Linked DNA regions of Oryzias latipes. The protein of the gene in region 1 purifies or fractionates together with the protein of each later gene. This does not show direct contact. Links are inferred from orthologs where the notes say so. Each region holds a gene or a part of one and is shown in the gene's direction. Other genes may lie near its edges.

Region 1 (4,490 bases):
CTATAAAAAAAAACACTAAAAAAGTGTATTTTTAGTGTTATTTATTATCTGTTTGCTGTTTTAAATAGAGCTATGGTAACAAGGTAAATTCCCCTTTGTGGAATGAATAGAAATGTATTCTATTCTATTCTATTCTATTCTGCATGCCAAAACAACAGCGTGGATTCAAATTTGTTTCATCACCACAACCTAAAATGTTTGATATTTTATTCATCTTTCAGGAAGAAATATCTCAAGTGCTGGATGCCATGTTTGAGAAGTTCTGCACAGAAGGAGAGCACATCATTGATCAGGATGATGATGGGGACAACTTCTACGTTATTGAAAGGTGCCTTCAGAGCTTTTTTCTTTTCTCCTCACTGCATGTTGTAAATGACTTCTCTTCCTCTTCATGCTGGTTGTTTATCTTCTGCTTGTGTTTGTCCAGTGGGACATTTAACATTTTCGTGAAGGTGGATGGCATTGAGAAGTTGGTGGGCTGCTATGACAACAGAGGCAGTTTTGGAGAACTAGCGCTGATGTACAACACCCCCAGAGCAGCCACAATCATTGCCACCTCGCCTGGAGCCCTTTGGTGCCTGGTGAGTAAACCATCACTTCCTCTTGCAAGAGCACAGCTGGCTCCTTACTTAGTTTTTCTAGCACGCTGTGCAGTCAGTTGGTACAATTTAAATAGCTTGTTTGTAGCAGCGTGACTCCCTGGTAACCCTGAGAAAAGATCTTGTTTTACCGCTTAAACACACAGGATACGGGATAGGCAGAAATAACAGCATTTACATGCACTCCAGATATGATTTTAGGAACGCTTGCAATCATGAAAAAGTAGCAAATGTAACAAAGGTTTTATTTCTGTTATAACTGAGAATGTTTGAGCAAATTTCAAGCATGTTGTGTTTGATTTTAGGATCTTTTTAGCATCAAAGTGTCATTTCTTTAACCAGCATTGAATTGCTTTGGATGCCACCACAATTGTGTGAGGATGCAGTTGCAACTTGACCCCTTAAAGCGACGTGACTTGTTCGTTTCTGACTCAGTCCCTGAAATGAGTCATGATTGAGGGTCGTTCCCTTAAATAAGGGAACTCTGATCTACCTGCATGGAGCAGGTGGTGTGCCGCTGTGTCCCCCGCTGACCTGAGCTCTTGAAGAATGCCGCTGAGTGTGCGGTCAGCGGTCAGTTTTGGACGGAGGCTTTTCTGCCACACAACATCTGAGCAAGCAGTAATTTGTAGTGGTTAATCAGAGCCACTTAGGCCCAAGTGACTCAGTCAGGTATGGAGATTTTAGCAGCTTGATGCTCCCTGCAGCAGCTACAAATCCTCCAGAGGGGCGTCACCCACTCTGTTACATGGAAGTTGCTGAAGTGACATGCAACAGCGAGGGTCTTGCATTATTTAAAGCAACACAAAAAGTGCATTTTTTCTATATCTGGAGCTGCTTTACATTCCATGAGTTTATATGAATTATTGTTTGTTACAAAGAGCTGGAGCATACATACAAAAAAAGTCACACAGTGATGTCTGTCTCTGTGGATTCTGGGTTTTTACCTTTGATATTTTTATTTATAGATAGTTACAAAGAACAAAAGACATAGATTTAAATAGTTATGGTTAAAAGATATATTAAAATGTGAGTGTTTTTCATGACTTACACTGTTTTTTATTCATTCAGGATCGTCTGACATTCAGGAGAATCATAGTGAAGAACAACGCCAAGAAGAGGAGGCTTTATGAGGCATTCATCGAAACACTACCACTTCTGACATCTTTAGAGGTCAAGACAGTCCTTGATCTAGAGTTACCAAAGCCCACTATGCATTTAGACTGAACGCAGTGTAATGTTCTTCTGCCCGCAGACATCAGAGAGAATGAAGGTGGTAGATGTCCTCTCCACCAGGGTGTACAACGATTCACAGCAAATTATTGCTCAGGTGAGGCATATTTCCCTTATTTACTAATATTTTGTTTTCTTTTGTGTCTTGATACTGGGTTTGGTTCTCTTCACAAGAATTTGCCTTCCTTCCAGGGTGACTTGGCAGACTGCTTCTACATAGTTGAGAGTGGCCAAGTTAGAATCACAATGAAGAGAAGCCGGGTATGCAGTTGTTCCTGTAATACAGTATATAGATCTATGATGGTGTAGGATTTCCTTATTGTCTTTATTTTTCTTTCCCATCAGATGACAAAAAAGGATCAGGAGGAGGAAGAGGTGGAAATTGCGACCTGCACGAGGGGCCAGTATTTTGGGGAGCTGGCTCTGGTCACAAACAAGCCAAGAGCCGCATCTGCCTATGCTGTGGGGAGTGTCAAATGCCTGGGTACATTTGTGCAGTTGCCTTATTTATGTTGTTGGTGTCCGCCAAGCGAAAATGCTGTGTCTAGTCATTCTTCAGTCAGCTTCTTTTGATTTAGGTTGAACTCGCAAAGGGAGTTGTGTTATGAGAAAACCTCAGCGATGCCCATAGCTAAAGTAGTCTATTTATGCAAGTATACTTAGTCTATACTATATATAAATGAGGCATAATATATTAAGTTTACTTTTTATATACTATCTATTTATTGTAAACTTAGAATGTTCCAATTTAGTCTGAAGAAGTATTCAGTAAGTATACTTCCTACACTACACAAACATCATGTATAGTAGACTTCCTATAGTAATACTTGTACTCAAGTTTACTTATTAAAATAAAACTCAAGCGTACTACTTTTTGCTAAGGGTAAGTTTTAGCTCCAGGATTGTTTTTTTTTTGTGTAAGGACATAGTTCTGTTTCTTTGACAAACACATCTGAGTGAATGACAGCTTCACTTCTGTCATTCGTTGTTCAAAACAGATAAGGACAAGAAAATAATGCATAAAAAAAGCAAAAATGTACATATAGGGGTTTCACTTCCCCATGACTAACTAATAAAGAACTGCAGTTCTTTATTAATTCAATTCAATTCAATTCAATTTTATTTGTATAGCCCAAAATCACAACAACAGTCGTCTCGATGGGCTTCGAAGTAAAACATGAAATCAAAAGGATCACGAATACAAAGAGTTCAATAGAAAAATACTAAAATGAACTAACAAACTGACTAAGCTATACTGGCATCCCTGCCCTTAGACCCCCCTTCGCGGTAAGGAAAAACTCCCAAAAAAACCGGATTCCGGAAAAAACGAAGAAACCTCAGGGGTGCCCACATGAAGGAGGGATCCTCCCCCAGGACGGACAGGCGATTTACCAGAAATCTTAGAGAAGAATTAACTTATCTAAATCTACAACTACATATATAAAAGTCCAGCAGACGAGCTTCATCCAGCCGTGGTTATCGGGACAGTCAAAGGCGCGAGTCGAGCCGGAGACAGGAACCACAGCCAGGTGTAGGAGCAGGAGCAGAGACGAGGTACTCGGTCAGGTACAGAGCAGAGACGAGCCAGAGATGAGCCAGAGGCAGGATCCACAGCCAGGTGTAGGAGCAGGAGCAGAGACGAGGTACTCGGTCAGGTACAGAGCAGAGACGAGCCAGAGATGAGCCAGAGGCAGGATCCACAGCCAGGTGTAGGAGCAGGAGCAAAGGCGAGGTAAACGGTCAGGAACTGGAGCACGGATGAGCCAACTGGAGTCTGGAAGCACTCCCACTCCCCAGGAGGGGAGAGGAAAAGAGGGACAATACATGAATCGCACTGTACCAAACAGAGGCATGGAGAACTAAATGATGAATAATGATCAAGAATAGAGGAGAGGAAGGGTAGAAGTAAAAAAAGGAAAGAGGACAGAACCCCAGTGCACCATAGTTACCCCAGCTTCAACTTCTAGCAGCCTTTTAAAAGAAATAGTTATTATTAAGTTTAATTTAAACAAACTAACATTAAGTTAAATAATCTCTGAATACTAACTAGTCTGACAATAAGCCTGTCCAAAGAGGAATGTTTTCAGTCTAGCTTTGAATGTAGAAACTGAGTCGGCCTCTCTTATATGAGCTGGGAGTTTATTCCATAAGACAGGGGCTTGGTGGCTAAACGCTCTACCTCCAACCGTACTTTTACCAATTCTAGGAACCACAAGCAGTCCTGCATTTTGCGAGCGAAGTGTTCTGATTGGTTGGTAAGGGACTATGAGGTCCTTAATATAGGACGGGGCCATTCCATGTAAGGCCTTATAGGTTAACAGGAGGATCTTGAACTTAATTCTAGAATCAACTGGGAGCCAATGGAGCGAAACTAACACAGGAGTGATGTGATCTCTTCTGCTGGTTCCAGCTAACAATCTAGCAGCTGCGTTCTGAACAAGCTGGAGACTTCTTAAGGAACTCTTAGGACACGCTGCTAACAAGGAGTTACAGTAATCCAGCCTCGACGTAACAAATGCATGGATGAGTTTTTCAGCATCACTCTTAGAAAGTATATTTCTGATCTTAGCAATATTCCGCAGGTGAAAAAAGGCAGTTCTACATGCCTGAGATATGTGAGCCTTAAATGATAAATCCTGGTCAAGTAAAACCCCAAGG
Region 2 (4,490 bases), on another chromosome or scaffold:
TTTCGCTCTGTGGTTCCCTACACGCTGCCTGGGGTCCTGGTTCTGATCGGCTGGTGGTGGTTCACCTCCCGGAAGAAAGAGCGGCTGGTCGGCCAGGGCGCGTCAGAGGCCCCTCCCACCCCTGTGAGCCTTAAAGCATGTCAGGCTGAAGGCAGCAATGGTTTGGTTGAAAAAGGCACTGTGCACTGCCCACAGGAAGCAGACTGCCCCACCCTCAGACCTGCAGGGGTCAATGACTTGAGCTCACAGCATGAGGGGGGCTCCCAGGACTCTAAAACAGCACCTTCACTGGACCTAGGTTGTGAAGATGCTTCGCCGCCCCCCTGCAGAACAGGCCTGGGGGAGTTTGAGGCCCCAGACTCTCCTCTGGCTTCTCATGAAGATCAGGAGTTCTCAGAGCGACTGTTGAAGGAGCACACGGAGCCAGAGGGGGGCTCCCTGTTTGCTTCGTTGGAGAGACGTCCAGATGAAGACTCAGGAGTCGCTTCAGGAGCCTCCGGGGGGGCCTACCTGCCCCCCCAGGCTTGTGATGTCAGCATCTCGTGCACAGCGGCGCCTCTGACTGACGCGGAGCGACCAGAGCCAGAGGGTGAAGTTGCGAAGCATCAGGGTTTTGTCCATTCGCAACACGAGTTCATCTGCCCGCACACCCCCCCCAAAGGCTCCGGGGGCACCCCGTCAGAGGCTGACCCTCTGGAGACGCCCCCCCCATCTGTGCAGAATTTACATCAACACATCCTGACCAGCACGCCCACGTGCCCCACCTTTTCAGCAGAAAACGCCCTCCAGGGAGGCGCGGAGGAGCTGGAGCTCCTGGCAGCTGGACTTATAACCGAGGTCATCTCTGCAGCCACTCAGGAGGTCCTCGGGGTCTCCAGCTGCAGGGAGCCGGACCGCGGCCGGACCGGCGAGGAGCCACGCCTACAGGAGGAGGAGGCGGGGGTGTCACTTCACTGTCAAGTCCTGACGAGCTCGTCGCCAGGAGGCGTAGCAGAGGAGCAGCTCCACAATGGCTGCTCCTCAACAGCAGGATGGGGCGCTGGTGGGGCCAGTATTCCTCGGACAGATGAGGTCCGTAGCGACGGCTGGTCTTCACCCTCCCACCAAGCCCCTCCCCCTTTAAACACCAAAGAGAAAGGCGGAGAGGGAGTGGCGCTGGCGGAGGACTCCGCCTGCAGCACATGCCACTCTGAGGACGGCGTCAGCAGCGAGGAGTTGCAGAGCAGCGCCTTCGACAGACCGGCCGAGGCCGTCCAGGTGAGCCACCTGTCAGAGGACGGCGGCTCGTCCCAGCCTGACAGCAGCACCGAGGACAGCGCCATCAAGAGGCTGAATGGGCTCGGCCTCAAAAACGGAGCACACATCACCTGTGAGGCAGACACGGACCAGTCCGGAGGTGAGGGGAGGGCTCGGCCCTGCTGTGGCTGGGGGCTGATGGGTAATTTTAAGTCATGTTGGGGAGAGCAACAGAGGATCCATAGGGCAGGTGTAGCGCAGGTGGTGCATGGGGTAGCAGAGGCTAAACTACCCCAGAGGTAGTAACCAAATAGGTTACAGCAGCATGACCCAGGCTCACCTGTGCTGACCCGGGTCAGGGTTAAACCCCAAAAGAAGGGATGGGGTATGCAGTCTGAGAGAAGACATAGAAGGGTGGGGTCCAGGAGAAAAGGGAGATTTCAAACGATTTGCAGAGTCGGCAATGAAGAGACAGACATTTGATCTGAAACGTCCCTTCAGAACTTCCGTTTGAGCCCAGTTCTGCCTGGATTCCTAATAGCAGACTGCGTTTGTGGCTCTGGAACTGCTGCCCTGACAGTTGCCGTGGTGATGATCACGTTTGTCTCACCTGTCCTCCTGTAACTTCCCACTCATGAGACCAGCAGAACTAGAGCTTAAGAGTTGAAGTTTCAAACAAACTCAGGATGGGATCTGAAGGACAGCCTGCATGTTCTCCTGCGTCTCTGTGTCCAGGTTCTGACGTCAACAGCATGGACTCTGTGGACAGCGGCTGCACCATGGGGGCTGCAGAGGGCCAGGCGAGCGGCGCCGCCTCCTCCAGCTCAGGACTCGTCATCTGGGAGATCGAAGTGCCAAATGTGAGTAGAACCTCCGGGCGTTAAAGGCTGCAGACGGAGCGGCGTCCTGACCTCGCCAACTTTCTCTTCCAGCGTTTTGTGGGGCGGCTGATCGGAAAGCAGGGGAGATACGTAAGCTACCTGAAGCAGAGCTCTGGTGCAAAGATCTACATCTCCACCCTGCCGTACACACAAGACTTCCAGATCTGTCACATTGAGGGTGAGGCAGTGTTACAGGGACACACCTGGACTCCCCATGAGCCTCTGACCCCTTCACTTCTCTCCAGGTGAGCAGCAGCAGGTGGACAAAGCCCTCTCACTTATCGGCAAAAAGTTCAAAGACCTGGACCTGACCAACTTGTACGCGCCCCCTCCACCACCGCTCACGCTGCCCTCGCTCCCCATGACGTCCTGGGTAAGGACGAGCTCTGCGCTGGCAGTCTGGGACGCTGAAGAGGGATGTTGAGGCCTGTCCTGTGTGCTCGTCTCTACAGCTGCTTCTGCCCAGCGGCGTGACGGTGGAGGTGATCGTGGTCAACATCGTGTCAGCGGGCCACATCTTTGTCCAGCAGCACACCCACCCCACCTACCACGCCCTGAGGAGCCTGGACCAGCAGATGTTTCTGTGCTACTCGCAGCCCGGCACGCCGGCGCTGCCGTCCCCTGCTGAAGGTGGGTTCCTGTCCCAGCATCCGGACCTCCTCTAGTGTGCCTGTGGCAGCTCACCTGCTCTCCTCTCTCCTGCAGTCGGTGTCATCTGTGCAGCTCCTGCAGGCGAAGGAGCCTGGTGGAGAGCTCAGGTCATCACCTTCTACAAGGAGACCAACGAGGTGGAGATCAGATACGTGGACTACGGAGGCTACGACCGAGTCAAGATCGATGCTCTACGGCAGATCAGGCGAGTGCCACCGGGCCGTTTGTGGGCGGTCCTCTGCTCTCTAGCATCTGGTCTGGACCTTGATGGAGTCAGCAGGTTCAGGTTCATCTAGTGACAGACTGCAGGTGAAGCGGTCAGTTCCCCGGCCTTTGTCAGGCCAGGAGGCTGGTCCGTTCACACTTGGACTTGAGGTCCAGCTGCCCCGACTCAACTTTAAGACGTGGTCAGCAGGATGCATGAGCACCTTTATGGACATAAACAGAGTGTGCTACTGTGGGTGTATGTGTGTAATCCTTAAATGTCCTTTAAAAAAGGCAAACATGAGGTAAAGGTAAAATCCTAAATTATGGTAAATGATTCTGTTCTGTTTCCCAAAACAGCCATATATACAGGCTGTAGGAATCCCACTCCGTTCACCTTTAATCCATCTCAAAGCGTATAGTGCTCTTTAGTTATGGTTATGCCGTTTTTAGCCATAATAAACGTTTTCTTGGACTTAGTTTCTGCAGAGCAGTATGAGTTCATTAGATATTCCTCTGGGTTTGCACAGAGCGACCCCGCCCCCTTCAGTTTTGTGAGAGCATGTTTTCTACTACAAGGCTTTTTCATCAACCATCGGAAGAGATGGTCAGAAAAGCACTTTTAGGATGAATTTTCTTTATCAATGAGAAAAATGCCAACGTTAGGTTATGGGACTGGGTCTTCAGCTGTCCTCTACAGAGCAGCACGGATGGCGTTTTGGGACAGAACTGTGCATTACGTTCCCCTTTTGTTCTTCCATCATTCAGTGTGTCATTGCTTCTTGTGATTGTGTGCAGGTGAAGTCCAAAAGAGTCTGACCCTCATTAACCTCTACCTCTGTGGTGTTTCTTATCTTTAGATCCGACTTTGTGACTCTACCATTTCAAGGTGCAGAGGTGCTGCTGGACAACATCGCCCCTCTCCCAGGTACCTTGCTGGTCACTTTAACTTTTTTCTTCAGTCAAATCTCTGAATTGGAGTCGGGACGTTCATATTCGATCCTTTTTCAAAGAAGTGGTGGCATTTTCTTTGGCTGCCTCAGCCTCGCCGTCTGCTGGTGGTTTTCCCAGCAGGCAGCTTGTTTTCTCGTGGAACCACCAGCTGTGTAACGTTTGTGATCTTCTCCATCAGGGGAGGACCGTTTCTCCTCAGAGGCCACGTCGGCCTTTGAGGAAATCACCAGAGGTGTGGCCCTGCTGGCACAGGTGAGACAAGCGCCCGACTGAAGCCTCACCAGACCGGCTTCATGTAACGGCCCGATCCTCTGCTCTGTGTGAAGGTATCCAACTATGACAACAACACGGGGCTGCCGCTGGTCCACCTGTGGAACATGCTTGGAGAAGAGGTATGGCTCCTTGAGGTGATGCTGAGAGCCCTCCCATAGAGGCAGAGAGCCATGTGTGGCTGTGCACACACGCCTAGCTCCTGCCTCCGTCCTCACAGGACCAATGCTCTGGTGGCCTGTAGCACCAGGCTAAATTTGAGTCTGAATGACTGAAGATATTTTAAGGTTGAGG
Region 3 (5,283 bases), on another chromosome or scaffold:
CCCCTCCTCCAGACCCTCCCCATAAGGTCCTAGATGAATCAGGGTGTCTAATATGCAAGTAAAAGCGGGATGGAGGGTGGGCGCCGACGCGACCCCAGAGAGAGATGCCCCCAGTGAGCCCCGCCAGCATACCCCACCCATCCAGTTCCCGGAGCCCTATGTGCCTGTGTGAGAGACAGCCAGCAGGGAAGGGGCCCGGTGCCAAAACGGAGGGGCAGGAGGTCCAGCCCCACCATTCATGCCCTGACCTCCCTAAGGACTAGCACCCCCCCCCCCCCCCCCAGGGCGCCCCCTAGAGAGGAGGTTTCTGGATGCAGAGAAGGAAGACATGAAGGTAGCTGCTGGTAGAGGATGCAGGGGACAGACGGAGGAAGCTGATTGGCTGTGGAGAAAGGAAAAGGAGAAGACTAACACAAGCTTTTCTTCACCATAGTTGAAGGTTTGGATGTCTGCTGTTACCGTGTTTTGGACTAATGTGTCTGATTCTTCTCGTAGTAATGTTCTACGATTGTTTTCTTTGAAAACTGTCAAACAGTTGTGTGAATTGAGGTTGTAGATCTTGACTGAATCCTTAAACTGTTGTGTTTTCAACATTAAAGAGGCGGCCCGTCTTGATCCACACCTGCTCACAAAGCTGCTCAGGTAACTGGAGACCCAGCCTGCTCCCTGAAGAAATGAATAATTCAGAAACTGACCAAACTTCAGAGAGTTTTAGTTACTCGCGGACAGCTGCTGCTCTCGGGTCAGAGCCAGTCGGTAAAAATGTCCAAAAGGAGAGTAGAGTTTAGGATCTGCCAGACTATAAGCTGCTCAGTTCCGGTCAGCCGGAGACCCAGAGCGCCGTCACCGACGGGTGCTGCAGGTACGTTCCCAATTCAGGAGGAACAAATGTTTGGAGCTGAGGTTTTCAGTGAAGGGCACTTTGACAGCATTTATGGTGACAAAGAAGTTATTCTGGAGGAAGTTTTAATAGTTTATGATTTGTCATCTGATCATCCAGAATGGTCTATGAATAAACGTAAAATAGTTTTTTGTTTGCCTGATCACAAAAGAGGAACATTTCTATCAAACTATTTATTCTTTTCACATTTCCCATGACTTTCATGGCCTTTTACCTGTCCACCAGATTCATGCTAGCTTTGAATTTGACCTCTGCTTCTGTCCAGCTGAGTTAGCGAAAATGTTGACTTTAACATAAAATTTCACAGATCTGTTTGTTAAAAAATAAACACATTTATTCCTGATGTAATTTGCAGAGTCTTATAAGATTTTAATACAAATAGATATTTGATAAAACACATAAAAAGGACAACTGTAATCTGATCAAAAGAAATAAATGAACTCAAAAGTGAACAGCTTCATAGATAATAAAGCAAATGTTTCTTGGTGTTATATTTAAGCCAACTCTTTTGTTAGTTTGTTTATTTATTGATTGTTTATTGATTGGGACAGCGTACAAATACATTACGCTTAAAAAGCATGGATGCTTGCACCAGAATGCAGCTTAATAGCTCATTTTTTTATTGCACTTTAAACAAAAACTAAGAAGTTGGAGGAGAAAAATCTCAGGTACAGAATTAAGAATAAAATTTAATCCTGGCAAACATGAACTGAGCGTCTTCCTGATGTTTGACTTTTTAAAATACAAATTTCGCATTGAGAAAAAAATACACTAAATTCACGTTTTCTGTAAAATGCTTAGGTTTAAAATTTCCAATATAACAACAACTATAATAAACAGTTTGTAAATAAGTCATAAAAGTAAAGAAAGACCGACAGAAAAACCATTTTTCTGACAGAAAGTCTTTTTTCTGACGCTCCGTGAAGTGTCCGCCAGTGAAGTAGCAGTGGGCGTGGCTAAAGTCCACCTACCAGACGTCACCGTCGCCGTCTCATGTTTACGTGGAAAACATGGCGGCGGGCTGCCAACAAGCAGAGCGAGTTCGCGCTGCCCGTCTGTGAGGGCGGGCTGCGAGCTCGCGGAGCGCCGTTCGGGTCTCGTTCATGTGGGTTTGGTCTGAAGCGGGTTCTCTCTGGTTCTAGCCGCCGGGGCCGCGAGCATGGAGGACGAGGAGCGGCAGAAGAAGCTGGAGGCGGGCAAAGCCAAGGTACGAGGGGCTGGAAGCGCCGACTCCGAGTCGCGCGGAGAACTTTCTGACTCGGGACCACAGTCACTTGTTTCCTTGTGGCTCGCGCTGTCAGCTGTCGGGACGGGGGGGTCCCGCGTGCCCCCCGCTCAGCTGTCACGCGCTCCCCTGTCTGACAGCCGGGTGTTAGCATGGCCAGGGCTAGCTGCTGGAGCCTTTGTCATCCAGACGCTCCGCGGTTCTTCTACTGTTTTTATTGGTTTGTCGTTTGTATCACGGTCACCTGCCAGGTGGAGGTGAGCGCGCGCAGGTTCACCAAAAACGTCTGAAAACAGGGAGCTGATAGACTCTTTCTGACGGGAACTACAGGCTGGTGGAACAGGATTAGCAGGACGAGCTAATGAGGAGCTGCTGCTCCACCGGTGTTCTACTGACAGAACCACAGGAACCCTGTTAGCAGTAGCGGTTTTAGGCACGGGCCATACGGGCGATCGCCCGGGGCGGAAAAATGACGGAGGGGCGGCGTCAGCGGCTCAGCTCTTGTAAAATACTTTATGCACCACTATTGGTTTACTTATATCACAGAGTTTGTAACAGCCTGAAACCTGGCTGCGCCCCCGCCCCGCAGCTGCGCTCCCTCCTGTCTTTGAGAAGTAGACGCAAATGTGTGTGGGAAGGAGAAGGGAGGGGGCGCGGGGTGAAGAAGGAGAAGGGAGGGGGCGCGGGGTGAAGGGTGCAGCCTGAGAGGTGAGCACGGAGCGCAAAACGCATGCGCAAACCTGGCTGGATCTTCTTCCAGGGGGGCAACGGTCGCGGGCCGCGGCTCAGTGCTTGATGAAAAAATAAAAATTGCGCCGCCATGTAGCGAATTGGCGCCCCTGGGTGCAGCTGCACGCGCTCCTGCTGGAAATGTTTGACGAACGGGGGGCTGCGGGTATAAAAAAATCATGCTTTTTTGGTTATTTTTGTATGAAATGCCCAAATACAAAATGGGAAAACAAAAACAATTCTTCACTTAGATGACAGTTGGTTTAGTCGACAGACTTGATACCTATGTCAGGACATTTATGCTAAATGCAAAAGCATCTGAAATATGGAGAAAAAAGGTCAAAGCTGGTGCCCAATTAGGAAAGAAAAGAGAAGAAGAGGAGAAAAGAGACAAAGAAAAGGGTAATATAGCATAGCTAGATGCACGTTTTTTAAATTCGAATGCTATCTGCCCTACAACAACAACGTTGCAGATGAAAAATCTCTTGTTTGGTCTATCATGAGCAAAACTGAAGGAGGCCCAAATATTGCAAATAACGTCATTTTTAAGATATTTATTCTTAAATGTTTGCTCTGCCTTAACTTGTAACATTAGTTATGATTCGTGTGTCTGTCTGCTGTAACACAAAGTTTTTGTTGTGTTTCATTGTTGTATATTAGTTCATAATGTTAAATAAGCTGTGATGGTAGCATGCTGCTGCTGCTGCTGCTGCTGCTGCTGCTGCTGCTGCTGCTGCTGCTGCTGCTGCTGCTGCTGCTGCTGCTGCTGCTGCTGCTGCTGCTGCTGCTGCTGCTGCTGTTGTTAGCTTTTCAAAACTCCAGTTGATCAAGTCATACCTGAGATCACCAATGTCTCAGGAGCAACTCACTAACCTGCTGTTGTTAGTATCAATCATTCAGGGGGGGAGCAGATTTCATATGATGACGTTATTGACAAGCTTGCATCAGGAAGGCCACAAAGGTTAGGTTTTAGTTAGTGTTTTCTGTTCTTAGTGCTGCAGTTACATTTATTCTAGTGTATTATTAGTGTGATTTGTAGTTTATATTTATTTCAGATTATTTGTGTTTGATTAAATATTTCCTAACTGTATTTTCAGTTACAATAAATGGACAAAGTGGCTCGATTGGGGGGGGGGGGGGGGGGGGGGGGGGGCGCCAGAGGAGGGTCTCGCCCGGGGAGTAATTCAGGGTAGAACCGCCACTGCCTGTTAGAACCCAGTGAGAACACCTGGAGGATCCTCACTTCTAGTGCCATGATGGTTCTAATTCAAGTCACTATAATTTTATTTGTATAGCCCAAAATCACAACAACAGTCGTCTCGATGGGCTTCGATGTGAAACATGAACTCAAAAGGATCACGAATACAAAGAGTTCAATAGGAAAATACTAAAATGAACTAACAAACTGACTAAGCTATACTGGCATCCCTGCCCTTAGACCCCCCTTCGCGGTAAGGAAAAACTCCCAAAAAAACGGATTCCGGAAAAAACGAAGAAACCTCAGGGGTGCCCACATGAAGGAGGGATCCTCCCCCAGGACGGACAGGCAATTTACCAGAACTCTTAGAGAAGAATTAACTTATCTAAATCTACAACTACACATATAAAGTCCAGCAGACGAGCTTCATCCAGCCGTGGTTGGGGGGACAGTCAGGGGGCGAGTCGAGCCGGAGACAGGAACCACAGCCAGGTGTAGGAGCAGGAGCAAAGGCGAGGTAAACGGTCAGGTACAGGAGCACGGATGAGCAAACTGGAGTCTGGAAGCACTCCCACTCCCCAGGAGGGAAAAGTGGGACAATACATGAATCACTGCACCAAACAGAGGCATGGAGAACTAAATGATGAATAATGATCAAGAATAGAGGAGAGGAAGGGTAGAAGTAGATGAGAAAAGAGGACAGAACCCCAGTGCACCATAGTTACCCCAGCTTCAACTTCTAGCAGCCTTTTAAAAGAAATAGTTATTATTAAGTTTAATTTAAACAAATTAACATTAAGTTAAATAATCTCTGAATACTAACTAGTCTGACAATAAGCCTGTCCACAGAGGAATGTTTTCAGTCTAACTTTGAATGTAGAAACTGAGTCGGCCTCTCTTCCATGAGCTGGGAGTTTATTCCATAAGACAGGGGCTTGGTGGCTAAACGCTCTACCTCCAACCGTACTTTTACTAATTCTAGGAACCACAAGCAGTCCTGCATTTAGTGAGTGAAGTGTTCTGATTGGATGGTAAGGGACTATGAGGTCCTTAATATAGGACGGGGCCATTCCATGTAAGGCCTTATAGGTTAACAGGAGGATCTTGAACTTGATTCTGGAATCAACTGGGATCCAGTGAAGTGAAACTAACACAGGAGTGATGTGATCTCTTCTGCTGGTTCCTGCTAACAATCTAGCTGCTGCGTTCTGAACAAGCTGGAGACTTCTT
Region 4 (5,015 bases), on another chromosome or scaffold:
TAAAAGACTTCAGAATAGCATGGTATAACACCTTAAAGAGAATTCATTCATAACAAATAATATATGGAAAAAAAAAATAAAAAAATGAACCAAGAAGCAAGGTATAGCGTTTCAGAAAAACAAGTAGAAACAACATAGCTTTTTTTTTAAGGGAAAAAGATAAAAAAGTATTCAAACTGGGGAGTCAGAGGGGATATTTATATAAAGATAAGTTTAAGGTTAACTGTGTTAAAAGCAGCAGTGTAAAAACAATAAACAGAATAGATTGTTGACATGTCCCTGAAGTAGGTTTCTTTATTTATTTGGGACCCTAGAATAGACGGAAGTTATACATTTTAAAAAACAACTTCCTTTAGATTTCTTGTCAGAATAATACTTTTTTTTTTTACTTAAATGGGCCTTTACGAATTAATTTGAATAAAATAAAGTTGGAAATACGTTAAGGTTGTCATTTGCTTTGATAAATGCTTTTATTTTCTCCTTCTAAACATGCATTTTGCGATGATTTAAAGACCTTTTACCAAATAAAAGGGGTTTTTTTTGTTTGTTTTTTTTCGAACTTTATTGAATGTAACAATTCAATACAAAACAATGTTAAACAGCAACAACGAAAGAACAAGCCAGGGGGTTATTGTTTCATTTTACGCAGATATATTGGAACTGACACACAGACCAAATGTTTTGATGGCTTTCTAATTGTCAGAGTTTCTTATTGTGTTAATGTATTGTTTGAACTCATTGATAAAGTTTGAGAAATGAGGGGTATGATTCGTAACTTTTGATTTATGAATGTGCCATTTGCATAAAAACAACAAAAGGTTAATGATGTACAATTGTTCTTTTTTATGAGATGGACAGTGGGTGAGGCCAAACATAACATTTTCTAAGTACAGGCGAAAGTCACGGTCAATGTGGGCGGAAATGAAATGACAAACTTTAGACCAGAGAGTGGTGGAAAAGAGACATGACCAAAATAAATGTACAACATCTTCAGGGTGTTCTTGACAGAAAGAGCAGGCAACATCAATATTTTCTTTGAACCTTTGCAGATATAGTTTGGATGGATAGAATTTTTGGATCAGTTTGAATGAGATTTCTTTCACTTTATTGGTTAAAAAGTATTTCGCTTTCCAGATCTTTTTCCATTCTAAATGACAAACTAAATTATTCCAAAAAGAAACTACGTAGGGAATGGAAACAACATCCTTCTGGAAGAGTGAGCGTATACGGTGATTTGTGTTACGTGAAGAAGAAAAACAAATTTGGCCTATTTCTATTTTAGTTGAATCAATTGGTAATAAAGTTGGACTCTGCAATGATGAGCTTTTGAATAACATAGTAATAGATTTAAGAATTGCTGTCAAAACAATGTTAAACTCAGTTTTTGGTATTTTGATGGAATAATTGAAGCAGAATTCTTCATGTGACATCAAAGATCCGTTTGAATTAAACAGCTGATGGACCAAAAGGATGTTTTGATTAAACCATGATGGATAAAATAAAGATTTAGGTCTATATGTAATGTCTTTATTGTTCCATATGTCGTATCTATGTGGAAAACAATGGTGTTTGTAAATAAGTGACAAGGAAAGTAACATTTGTTTATGGAAGCAAGAAAGCTTAATTGGGATCTTTTGTACATTATAGTTACAGAATAAAAGAAAGTTTATGCCACCTAATTTGGAGAAAATGTAATTTGGTATGAAATTCCAGATTGAAGTTGGATTCTTAATAAAATGTCTCAAATAAAAGTAAAGCAACTGCAAAGTACGAGTCTAAAAATGCGGAAGCAAGCCCGGATTAGCATCTTGTCACCGACTCGTGGAGCCAATCCGAGCCCACCGTGAAGGCAGCTGAGGGCCGGGGAGCAGCTTAGTCACACAAACACCAGTGACCGCTAGCTCCATGCCAGCCGAGCAGGCAGCAGCCGAGTAGCAGCAGCGGAAACCGTTCACGGGGAAGGAGGAGCGGGAGAGGGCGCGCGCGGGGACCGCCGGAAGGGACTCCAGACATCACCTCCCCTCATTTCCAGTAGAAAGCGAGAGTGGTTTGTCCGTTTCACCGGAGGAAACGCCAAGACCTCCGAATCATCAAGTGGAAGGGAGGTTAGCTAGCCTGCACCGCCGTCGCCGCCGCCATCTCCTCCTCTAAGTCGGAGCGGCCGCCGTGTCTTCCACACCATGGGGAACGCCGCCACAGCCAAGAAGGGCAACGAGCTGGAGAGCGGTGAGTGTGCGCCGGGAGCGGGCCGCCGTGTTCCGCTAGCATCCACCATCAGAGACGCCGGTGACACTTTTTTTACAGCGGCGACGCGCTCGTTTGCTGGAAACCGCTGTAGAGGCGGTGAGGGCCGGCCGCTAACCCGACTTCATTCCTCCGTTATCTGCCATCTCTGCGCGAACCCGTCCCTTCTCATGGCGTGAAAAAAAATGTTGTTGTTTTTTTGCACATTATTGAAATCACAGTATTTAAAGAATTAGTAAGTTGTTGGAAACCCCGAGACTGTGTTGCTGTCTTGCATCCCGGGAGTGGGGAAGAGAGAAGCAGAGAGACGAAGTAAAAAACACGCTGCTAAAAAAAGACGCTCCCGAAAGATATGAATCTTAATGAATACCCAAAATGTTATAATTGAAAGTTTGTGTTGGCTGCTAGTCGGTAACGAAATCTGGAGAGGAGCTAGCTTGCTAACTTTAGCTTTGAAGGGGGGGGATTAGCCCTCATAAGGCCCCTCGTTCCCCCTTGGAAGCTATTTAGGGCCGAGACCGTTAGCCCCGGCGTGCGGTCATTTCCTGTGTCCGGCCTGAGGCCGTTTGGTTGGCCGTGTTTACATTGAAGGCATCATCACCTTCGCGTTGTGTCATCCCGGGCTTCTGTCTCTGCCTGACAGCAGGGGGATGTGGCTTTCGCTGTGCCTTTTGGCTGCGGGCTCACCGCCACCATCATCATCATCATCATCAGCACAGAGCCAGCTGTTGAACAGAAATTTGGATCTCGAATCTCCAGTAAAACTTAACTTTAAATGAAGCCCAAGAGCCGTGACTAATTGGAGTAAACGGGCGTTGCGGTTCACTTTGAAGTCGGTGAGCAACTGCCCCCCCCCCCCCCCCCCCCTCTGGCTTCAGTGCCACGTTTTATTCTTAGGCGCATAAACAAAACATTCCCTCTGTACAGCGCCATGACCAAATATGGTGAAGAAATGACAAATCCCTTCTTTCCATTCATAAAACGGGGGCTTACTACTGCCTTTGTGGCAGATGTGTGCACACGCTTAAGAAGAAGAAAAACAAAAACCCAACACCATCGAACCCCCCCCCCACTTGTGTTTGTGTTGAAGCTCTTCTCTAATCTTGCCGTGGTGAAGGTCCATCAGGGCTCACTTCTCACACTCGGCTTGTCATTGACTGGAGCAGCTTGTCATCGGACCTTCGTCAGAGGATAAGGGGGTATTACAAGCTTTGAAAGGTTTGACGTAACTGGACCTGGGCCAGTGTTACTTTACGCTCATATAGTCTGATGTGTGCAGCTGATCATCATTGAACACCACAGTAGTAAATCAGAACTGTTTCCTCATACCTGGTCGTAAACCGTGAAAGTTGTTGAGATTTATTGTGTTTTCTGATGACCACAAACGTACGAATACGATGGAAAGCACCTCTTCTTTTTCACAGATTTTTTTCTTCTTCTTCATATTTTTGATAAAAGATCAAGGTTTTGCTGTGACTCTGCTTAAAATGCTTGAACCAAGAATCCAACCAGCAGCCTCTCCGGAGACAGAGATGATCAGATTAGTGATGGAATCGGGACTCTTTTTCTTTTAAACGCACCTGTGATCCCCGTATCTTGTGCGGCGGCTAACTGTTAAACCTGTTTTAAGATGACACGGTGCCCTGACTGGCAGATTTGTTTCTAGCGTAGCTGCTCCCGACAAACAACCAGGTAACCTACAGCGCCTGGTGTTTACTGTACACTAAGGTCAGTGGCTGCAACAGTTAGATCATCAGCGCAGTCACGGATGGACAGCAAGGTTTAACTTGTGCCGCCATGACACCGATGGCCTTTCACAGTACCCGTGTTTCTGTGTTTTTCTGGTTTGACAGGAAAAGTAAACAAAACTCATTAAACAATTTACTTTTTCTTTTAACCCAGAAGAACCCAGACCCACTTTTCCTTAAAAATAAAAGACCAAGCGGACCACTGAACATATTTTTTGGTGTGTTTTTCTGTTACACTGATGTCACCCCCCGGTTCCTATAGATGAAATATGTTTATTTGCTTTTAAAAAATGTCAGCAATATTTTAAACTACCTATGGATTTTAAATTGTGACGTGAGAATCACGTTCCCTCATTCCTGTCACTTGAATTGGTCAAAAGCTTGACACATATTAAGAAGTGCTGTTTCCTGTCAGAGAGTAGATAATCGTCTACGTTCATGTTTATCGTTTTTAAAATCTGCACAGTGGTCCCTCGCTATATATCGCGGTTCATTTTTCGTGGTCTCGCTGTTTTTTTTCCAGCTTTTTAGTGCAATTTTGCATTCTTTTTCTTTTTACAGCACATTGTATCCTGATTGGCTGTAGACGATTATCAATCAATCTCTGTGATGTTTCTTCTATACAGAATGCGTTCAGCTTGCAAGATTTGCAAAAATCTCCAATCTCTAGCAGATCTTTAGTTTCTTTCTTTAATACTGGATTCATTTTTCTACAATGGGGGTTTATAGCCTTAAAACATCTAGAATTATAGCTAAAAAATAAAGTTGACTACTTTGTGGATTTGACCTCTCGTGGGTGTTTTTAGAGCATAACTCCTGCGATAAACGAGGGATGACTGTTTTCAATGTTTTACATATTTTATTTATCCTCATTTCATTTTTTTCATTGCAACATTGCATGTGTTGTTGGTAAAAGAGTGGACGAAAACGTTTTACAGGTCTGACAGGATGTGTGGTTTTACATATGTGTTTTGCAGAATTTATCTCTTCAATCTGATCTGATATGCATGTCTTAGGTTTCTG

The links.
Region 2: the proteins of prkar2b (region 1) and akap1 purify together in Homo sapiens (affinity purification with mass spectrometry; 3 studies listed by BioGRID and IntAct, counting the BioPlex papers as one, with this or other methods). This does not show direct contact. The link is inferred for Oryzias latipes from reciprocal best matches to the Homo sapiens genes PRKAR2B and AKAP1.
Region 3: the proteins of prkar2b (region 1) and akap9 purify together in Homo sapiens (affinity purification with mass spectrometry; 3 studies listed by BioGRID and IntAct, counting the BioPlex papers as one, with this or other methods). This does not show direct contact. The link is inferred for Oryzias latipes from reciprocal best matches to the Homo sapiens genes PRKAR2B and AKAP9.
Region 4: the proteins of prkar2b (region 1) and cAMP-dependent protein kinase catalytic subunit beta purify together in Homo sapiens (affinity purification with mass spectrometry; 7 studies listed by BioGRID and IntAct, counting the BioPlex papers as one, with this or other methods). This does not show direct contact. The link is inferred for Oryzias latipes from reciprocal best matches to the Homo sapiens genes PRKAR2B and PRKACB.

The regions. Positions count from the first base shown.
Region 1 is NC_019864.2:13,969,677-13,974,166, forward strand, and holds part of prkar2b (cAMP-dependent protein kinase type II-beta regulatory subunit), read left to right. Parts: intron 1-221; coding exon 222-328; intron 329-427; coding exon 428-581; intron 582-1,670; coding exon 1,671-1,772; intron 1,773-1,854; coding exon 1,855-1,929; intron 1,930-2,024; coding exon 2,025-2,093; intron 2,094-2,177; coding exon 2,178-2,316; intron 2,317-4,490. UniProt on the Homo sapiens protein: Regulatory subunit of the cAMP-dependent protein kinases involved in cAMP signaling in cells. Type II regulatory chains mediate membrane association by binding to anchoring proteins, including the MAP2 kinase.
Region 2 is NC_019871.2:30,773,089-30,777,578, forward strand, and holds part of akap1 (A-kinase anchor protein 1, mitochondrial), read left to right. Parts: coding exon 1-1,396; intron 1,397-1,971; coding exon 1,972-2,096; intron 2,097-2,168; coding exon 2,169-2,295; intron 2,296-2,362; coding exon 2,363-2,490; intron 2,491-2,569; coding exon 2,570-2,747; intron 2,748-2,822; coding exon 2,823-2,973; intron 2,974-3,832; coding exon 3,833-3,900; intron 3,901-4,104; coding exon 4,105-4,178; intron 4,179-4,252; coding exon 4,253-4,318; intron 4,319-4,490.
Region 3 is NC_019869.2:358,492-363,774, forward strand, and holds the start of akap9 (A-kinase anchor protein 9), read left to right. Parts: upstream 1-1,879; 5' UTR 1,880-2,060; coding exon 2,061-2,108; intron 2,109-5,283. UniProt on the Homo sapiens protein: Scaffolding protein that assembles several protein kinases and phosphatases on the centrosome and Golgi apparatus. Required to maintain the integrity of the Golgi apparatus. Required for microtubule nucleation at the cis-side of the Golgi apparatus.
Region 4 is NC_019875.2:26,776,201-26,781,215, reverse strand, and holds the start of cAMP-dependent protein kinase catalytic subunit beta, read left to right. Parts: upstream 1-1,936; 5' UTR 1,937-2,180; coding exon 2,181-2,226; intron 2,227-5,015. UniProt on the Homo sapiens protein: Mediates cAMP-dependent signaling triggered by receptor binding to GPCRs.